Linked DNA regions of Callithrix jacchus. The protein of the gene in region 2 binds, or shares a complex with, the protein of the main gene of each other region. Links are inferred from orthologs where the notes say so. Each region holds a gene or a part of one and is shown on either strand. Other genes may lie near its edges.

Region 1 (4,115 bases), on a different chromosome or scaffold from region 2:
TCCCACCCTCGCGGCCCCAGCCAGCATCATCTGGAGAGCTTGTTAAAGCACAGGCTGCCGGGCCCCACCCCCAGAGTTTCTGGTTCAGTAGATCTAAAGTGGAACTGGAGAATTCATAGCTCTAACAAGTTCGCAGGTGCTACTGCTTCCAGCGGGCATACCTGGAGAACCACCAACTGCATTGTTCTCCCTCCCGTTCCTCAACAAGGCAGGCAGGATCTTGCTTAGCAGTCTCCACGCTGCTCTTCCCTTCGCCCTGGGCATTTTTGCATTATTCAAAGCCCACGTTATTCCATCTCTGTTTAACTCACACCTTTTGAGAGGCCTTCACTGACCACTCCTTCTAAAATCTCTTCCCCTCTCCTCATTCTCATGTTTCTTGTTGGCAAGCATCGCTTGTTTCTGTCATCCCGTCTAGATGGACAGCTCCACAGAGTCCTGGTTTTGCTGTCGCATCCCCAGCACTAAAACCTTGCCTAGCAGGTGCTCATTTCACTTGTTCAAGGAATGGATAGCATACTGGAGGGAGAGCCAGCTTCTTGCCTGGGACACTGGACAGGCAAATCATTTCTTCTCGCCTCAGTTCCACCATCTGTAAGGGCACCGGTTTGGTTATGCCTACCCTTCCCATCTCCCTGGGTATAGGCTCAAATGAAAAGAATAACGTGTACAGACGCCCGCGAAGCAGAGCAGTAGTGGATACCGAGCGTTATTACGCCGTGCGTTCGGCCGCCCTTTTTCTGCACGGAGAACCCCCTCCGCTCCCATTTTCCAGCGCCCCCGTCCCGGTGATCCACAGACCTGCTGTGGGCGGCCGCCGCCCGCGTCCCGGCCTGCTAGCCCGCGTCTGGGCACGCCCGCCCCGCTCCCGGCTGGCGCCCGCACGCCCGCCCGCCTCCAAAAGCAGAATCGGCAGCGGCAGCAGCAGGAGGAAGGGGAGGCGCCGAGGGAGGGGTCCTCGGCCGCCGCGGGAGGCCGCATAGCTGTCCCGTCACGGCGTCAGCGCCGGCCGCGGCCGAACCCGGAAGTTGCCGAGCCCGCGCGCCCGCCCGTCCCGCCGCCGCTGCCGCCGCCGCCGCCACCCGGCACTCGGGCGAGCGCGGGAGCCGCGCAGTAGACAGAGCGCGCCCGGCAGAGCGGGCCATGGCCGCGGGGACCGCCGCCGCAGGTGGTGGCGCGCGGTGAGGCGAGCGCGGCGCCCCCTCCGGGGCGGATGGAACGCGGCTTGGCGGGCGGGCAGTGCCGGCGTCCGCGGCTGGAATGGTGCTGGTGGCGGCGGTCGGTGCCTGCGTTCTGAAGCCAGAGAGGAGCCACAATGGAGACGCCGCCGCTGCCTCCCGCGTGAGTGAGCTGGCGGGCGGGCGGGCGGGCTGGCTGGCTGTGCCCCTGCGGATAAGCGCGCCGCTGCGGCGCGTGTCGCCGGCCGCGGGCGCAGCTTGGGGTACGGCCGCCCGGAGCCGCCGGGGCCGGCGGGAGGTGAGAGATGCGGGGCGTGACGAGGCGCGGTGCCGGCAGTCCTGAGCGGACGCGGACGGAAACTCAGCTTCGCCAGGCGGTGACTTAAAACGCTGCCCAGGATTTCTGGGGAAGGGTCTTCCCCATGCCAGGCGGATAGAAGATTCAGGGTGGGGCTGTGCATGGGGGACCCTGCCGGTCCTGTGTGTACCTCCCTGAAATGCATGGGCAGTTGGTGCCCAGCTTGCCCACCCCTTTCTAGGGGATCAAGCTAGGATGCACGGAGTCCGTTGAAAAAAGGAAACTGGAAAGTACCAGGCGCCGGCTGTCTAAATGAATTGATCTTAGGTTGTTTGGTTCCCCGAATTTCTAACAAAATTAATATCTGAGGAGCTTTTCCATCACTCTGAAATGAGCGGTGGCCGTTCAGGGCATGTGACCTCTTTTACCTGGCACGCAGAACGTTTTATCCAGAAATCAGAGCATCTTCTGTTTCCTTAGTACCTCAGGCAAATTAGTAGCCTATCGACCTGCCAGGCACAGGTGTCTTTTTTCTTTGGTACCCAAGTACATTCAAGATCACTAGCAACAGAATTATTTTCTAGAAACAATAGCTGAAACATGTAGAAGACGTTATTGCATTATTCAGAACAAGGTTTTTTTTTTTCTTTAATTTTAGTTTTTAGTTTTAAAAACATCTTGGTAAAAGTGGCCTGTAAATACCCAGGAGTTTTGAAAATTTCAATTTTGGTTCCCTCTTCTCTTAGGAAGGAATAAGAGTCCTTTGAATCTGACTTTTTAAACCGGAGACAAACCTAATCCTGAAAAATGGTGTACCTTTTCATGAGAGCTTATTCATGGAGGCTTGTCGTTCTCCGGTTAGATTTGGCAAGCTTCATTCACTCCATGGCAATTGTACCGCACCAGCCTCTTGTGGTTATTTGGCAGAATTCCAGCCAAAATAAGAATATTTGGCTTGGGTTGAATAATTTGTTGATGTTCAGCCCTTTTGGGAGAGCTAATGGGATTCTGGAATGACAATTTCTAAAGGTGTGTTTCAGAATGTTTAGCTTGAGTGGAACAGGTCATGGAAATGTAGGGGTAGATGATAAGACTCGTGGATTGGCCCTCTTCGGCTGACAGAAGCAAGGGCTTAGCCACCTCTCGATAGCTTTGACTTTGAGGGCTCTGAGATTTAGTCATGTTCTTCAGCAGGCTGGAAGGCACTTGAACTCCTAGGAAATATGATGGTGGATGGTTAACATCAGCAGGATGAACACATGGGGGTCTGCCCAGTCTCAGAAGCACTTGAGGCAGGATATGCTAGCTGTATTTAGACAACACATGGTATATAATATGTAACATGTAGGTATGTTATCTGTAGTAAACCTGCCTTCTATATATCAGTTCTTGCAGTTCCTTTTTACTTTTGGAACAGAGAACCAAAGGAAAGAACAAGGGGATCTTAGAATGCAGGTGAAAAGAAGGATGTGGAAAAGCAGGCAGGCTCTGGTGGAAGGGGATAGAGATACAGATTATTTAAATCGAAATAATAAGACATGAAATTGATGTATGCATGCAAACACTGATAAACTGACTCTAGGGTAGATCAGCTAATCGTAATTTTGATGACCAGCATCATTTTTTTGGTATTGAGATTCCATCAATAGTGCTGGAACAATGAGAGGCTGAGATATAATGGAAAACCTGTAATGCCAGCATGGATGAAGAATTGTTAAAACTCCTTTCAGTCATGGGTGGTTAAAGTTGGTGAGACTTTTCCACTGGTTCTATTTAATTATAAATACAAATGGGTTTTTATTTTCATTTGGTTCTATCCAGGATTGACGCTAATTCTAAAACTCATTATTTGCCTTTCTGTGGATCAGAATTCGTTTTTTTCCTTGCCACCCCTTGGCCTGTTTGCCTACACTCCCATTAACATCTCTCTACCATGGATCACGTGTGCTAGATTTGAGACATGCAGGCAGTGTCTTTAGGAAGGAACTTTACTGGGCCTCACTGCCAGAGCTGGCCTAGGACAGAGGCCAGTGGAAAACTGTTAGGAAGACTCAGCTTTTCATAGTTAGATTTTTAACCTGAGCTTTAAGGCAAAGAAAGATGTTTGACCTGGACTTAAAGTACCTTAGATGGTGTGGTTGGAAGCAGGGCCCCAGATTATGTTTGGGTTAAGTAAGTGTCTGTTTATTAATTCATTCAATCTGCAAATATTTGAATGCCTGTCTCTTCCTGACACTGTGTGTGGTGCTTTTGCTTATGCTTCTCTTTTAACATCAAGATTTACATTGCTCTCAGATCCCACCTCGTACTCCATTGGCCTGTTGGCACATTGTCTTGGAGGGATATCAGGCATCTGTACCCACCTTCCTGTTTCCTTCAGGATGGACTCCTTGGAATTAGCTTTTGATCTCTTGTGCTTTTTCTGTTCCTTGCCTCCAACTTCTTCTCATCCTTTTTAATTCTCATATAATTAAAAAGTGTCATTGGACTATATATTTCTGCTTATTGTTTTTTGCAACCTTGAGTCTATGTGACATTAAATTCTGTTGCATTTTGGGGTTTGGGTGATATTGAGACTGTGTTACATTTGCTTCTGCTCAAACCTTAAAGATGTGTAACTGAAAAATTAGATGTAGATT
Region 2 (3,500 bases):
TTGGCCTTGGCACTGTTGACATCTTTGTTTTAGGGACTGTCCTGTGCATTGTAGGGTGTTGAAAAGAAAGCCTGGCTTCTACTCACTAGATTCAGTAACACTTACCCTCCAGTTGTGACAACTAAAAATGTCTCGATATTGCCAAATGTCTCTTCTCCCCATTGGAAGCCACTGACTTACTATATGACTATGAACCGGCCACTTCATTAATCTCTAAAATAGGATAGTAAGATTTATCCCACAAGGTTGTTGGATCTAGTGATGATAATGTAAGGAGCTGCCGGTTAGCAGACATAGTGGGTAAACAGGAAGTGTTGGTTTCCTTCCTCTCATATTCTGGAGGTCCCAAGAAGTGATCTGATGGATCATTGAGGGGGGAACCCAAGCTGTGTTCTCACCCCCACCCCAACTCCAGGTGGCTCTGGGCTTGGTCTGTGAAGCTGATTACCAGCCAGTGGCCCGTGCAGTACGAGAACGGGTTGCCGCCATCCAGCGAAAGCGTGAGAAGCTGCGTAAAGCTAGGGAACTGGAGACACTCCCACCGGAGCCAGGACCTCCACCAGCAACTGTGCCCATGGCTCCCCATCCCCACAGTGTCTTCCCTGCTGAGCCTGAGGAGCCAGAGGCAGACCAGCACCAGCCCTTCCTTTTCCGCCATGCCAGCTACTCATCTACCACCTGTAAGTCACTCCTGATCTTGAGACGTAGGTCCCAAAACACCTTGGCCTCTGCCCCCAACCCAGAAATTCACGCCCTGCAGCAGTCACTTACCCTGCCTTCCACCTGTAGCCATGAAGCTCCCTCCTGGAAGGAACTCTCCCACAGCTCCAGGCCCCCCTTGCAGGCCCCTTCTTCTCCCATTACCTTTTATTTCCGCTTTTTTTGATCCCCTCCCTCCCTCACCAGCGGATTGCGAGACTGATGGCTACCTCAGCTCCTCCGGCTTCCTGGATGCCTCAGACCCTGCCCTTCAGCCCCCTACGGGGGTGCCATCCAGCCCAGCTGAGTCCCATCTCTGCCTGCCCTCGGTGAGAGGGGGTCACATGGGGGGCTCCCAGCCATTCCAAGCCTATGACCTACTTCCCTCCTTGAGAAACCCAATCTCATGATCCAGCCTGCTGTCCCTAGGAATCCACCACTCCTGTCCTCCTCTTCCTTAATTCCATCTAATTCCCTAATATCTTCCCAGCATCCTTGGCAACATCTCCCTAGATCACAACAGTTATCTTCCTGACCTCATGAACCCTCATCCTGTTTCAGGCTTTTGCCCTATCCATTCCACGTTCTGGCCCTGGAAGTGACTTTTCCCCTGGGGACAGGTATGTTCTAGGGTAAATTGGGGTGCCAGGATGAGACACATGGGTCACTGGGGTCCCAGTGTCTTCTCTGACACTCATTCTATGTCCTTTCCCTTTTCCAGCTATGCCTCAGATGCAGCATCAGGACTTAGCGATGTGGGAGAAGGGATGGGACAAACGAGGAGACCCCCAGGGAGGAATCTCCGGCGCAGACCCCGATCCCGGCTGCGGGTCACTAGTGTAAGAAAGGGGCACGGGAGATGGAGAATAACCTACGGGGCCAGGAGGGAAGTATCAGCAGGATGTGGGGGAGGTCAACCATAGAAGGGGAGAAGCAGTTTGTGACTGGTACTCAAGAGGCAGCCAATCTAGTTTTTAATACCAGACTTTAGGGGTTGGGTCTACTTATCTCCAGGTCCAGTCTGGCTACTCTCACTTGGCTGGGGTAGGGTGGAGACACAGCATGATGACAGAGGGCTTGACCTCCTCCCCTCTGCTGACTTTGAATCTGAAGGTCTCAGACCAGAATGACAGAGTGGTTGAGTGCCAGCTACAGACCCACAACAGCAAGATGGTGACCTTCCGATTTGATCTGGATGGGGACAGCCCAGAAGAGATCGCAGCTGCCATGGTGAGGGGGAGAGAGATGAGGACAGTGTTTGGATCTGGAACAAGAGTCTCCCTCCTGATGTCTGCTGGGGCTGAAACCCACTGATCCGAGAGCAAGGGTTTTTTTTTTTTTTTTTTTTTTTGACATGGAGTCTCTGTGTCCCACAGGCTGGAGTGCAATAGTGTAATCTTGGCTCACTGCAATCTCTGCATCCTGGGTTCTAGCGATTCTCCTCCCTCAGCCTCCCGAATAGCTGGGATTACAGGTGCCCACCACCACATCCAGCTAATTTTTGTATTTTTCAGTAGAGACGAGGTTTCACTATGTTGGTCAGGCTGGAATTGAACTCCTGACCTCAGATGATCCACCCACCTCAGCCTCCCAAAGTGCTGGGATAACAGGAATGAGCCACCATGCCCAGTGACAGCAAGGGTTTTTAAAGCACTGGTTGACACTTAACACAGTGATACTGAGGACGTCTCAGCCCTTGTTTTTGGGAGATTTCTGTTTATCCAGTGAGGTTTGGCTTCTCAGCTGGAGCAATTTGAGATTCACATTGACCAGGTGCACACAAGTGCTATGTGTAAGTGCTTGGTAGACGTGCAATACTGTGGCTGTAGGGAAGGATGGGCTGGGCAGCAGGGGCAGTGGGCTTACCTAGGATCTTGGTGGATGGGCGAGAAAGGCCATGAAGGGTAGAAAGGCTGTAAAGGGCATCCCTATGCAGGGAAAACATAAACAAAGGCATTCCAAGTAGAGAATGACTTGGAATATGGGGCTGGGAGGAAACCACTATCATTGGAAGTAAAAATTCCTATAGGAGAACTGTGGGAAGTGAAGCTGGGTAGGTAGCATGGGCCCAGATTACAGGATAGACAGTGTTAAGTGTTAGGCCAAGCGGGCTGGGTCCAGTGGCTCACACCTGTAATCCCAGCACTCTGGGAGGATGAAGTAGGAGTTTAAGACCACCCTGGGAAACATAGTGAGACCCTATCTCTACAAAAAATTTTAAAAATTAGCCATGTGTGGTGGCACATGCCTGTAGCCCCAACTACTTGGGAGGCTGAGTTGGGAGGATCATTTGAGCCTGAGAGGTCAAGGCTGCAGTGAGCTGTGATCACACCACTGCACTCCAGCCTGGGAGACACAGTGAGACTTTCTATCAAAAAAAAAAGGCAGAGTGTAACATGGTGACAGTAGGCTTTGTGAAGACCATCTGCCATGGGATGTGGAAGGGGGTTAGAGGAAGGGAAAATAACTGGGAGCTAGGCCCAGGAAGCCACATGTGGACAAAGAAGAGGGTGGCTTATGGGAGGGAAGAGGAGAAAGGGTGAATCTGAGGGTTGTTTCAGGAAAATAAGTTACTCTGTAATCCAGTAGCTTATTGACGTAATACAGTAGTACCTAGTACACAGTAGATGCTCAATAAATATTTGCTGAGTTGATATGATAGGAAGTTGAGAAGGGATATCAAGGACAACTTGTAGGCTACCAAAGGAGAGAGGAAGTTAGAAATGAAAGTTTTGTTTTTTTTTTTTTTTTTTTTTGAGGCGGAGTTTTGCTCTTGTTACCCAGGCTGGAGTACAATGGCG

Evidence for each region. Proteins that work in one complex are often made in the same cells at the same time.
Region 1: the proteins of WNK4 (region 2) and KLHL2 are in contact, whole or in part, in a crystal structure (PDB 4CHB), measured with the Homo sapiens proteins. The link is inferred for Callithrix jacchus from reciprocal best matches to the Homo sapiens genes WNK4 and KLHL2. Residues at the interface, in NP_115763.2 of Homo sapiens: Glu557, Pro558, Glu559, Glu560, Pro561, Glu562, Ala563, Asp564, Gln565; in NP_009177.3 of Homo sapiens: Arg345, Phe361, Gly363, Ser364, Leu365, Arg366, Thr392, Phe408, Gly410, Ser411, Thr412, Gly413, Ser438, Ser439, Tyr455, Ser487, His504, Arg534, Tyr583.

What each region holds. Positions count from the first base shown.
Region 1 is NC_133504.1:29,900,734-29,904,848, reverse strand, and holds the start of KLHL2 (kelch-like protein 2), read left to right. Parts: upstream 1-1,315; coding exon 1,316-1,341; coding exon of another isoform or gene 1,342-1,670; intron 1,671-4,115. Other genes in the region: uncharacterized protein LOC144581672, read right to left, coding at 837-1,670. UniProt on the Homo sapiens protein: Substrate-specific adapter of a BCR (BTB-CUL3-RBX1) E3 ubiquitin ligase complex that mediates the ubiquitination of target proteins, such as NPTXR, WNK1, WNK3 and WNK4, leading most often to their proteasomal degradation.
Region 2 is NC_133506.1:121,104,227-121,107,726, reverse strand, and holds part of WNK4 (serine/threonine-protein kinase WNK4), read left to right. Parts: intron 1-415; coding exon 416-680; intron 681-906; coding exon 907-1,028; intron 1,029-1,260; coding exon 1,261-1,319; intron 1,320-1,420; coding exon 1,421-1,538; intron 1,539-1,812; coding exon 1,813-1,929; intron 1,930-3,500. UniProt on the Homo sapiens protein: Serine/threonine-protein kinase component of the WNK4-SPAK/OSR1 kinase cascade, which acts as a key regulator of ion transport in the distal nephron and blood pressure.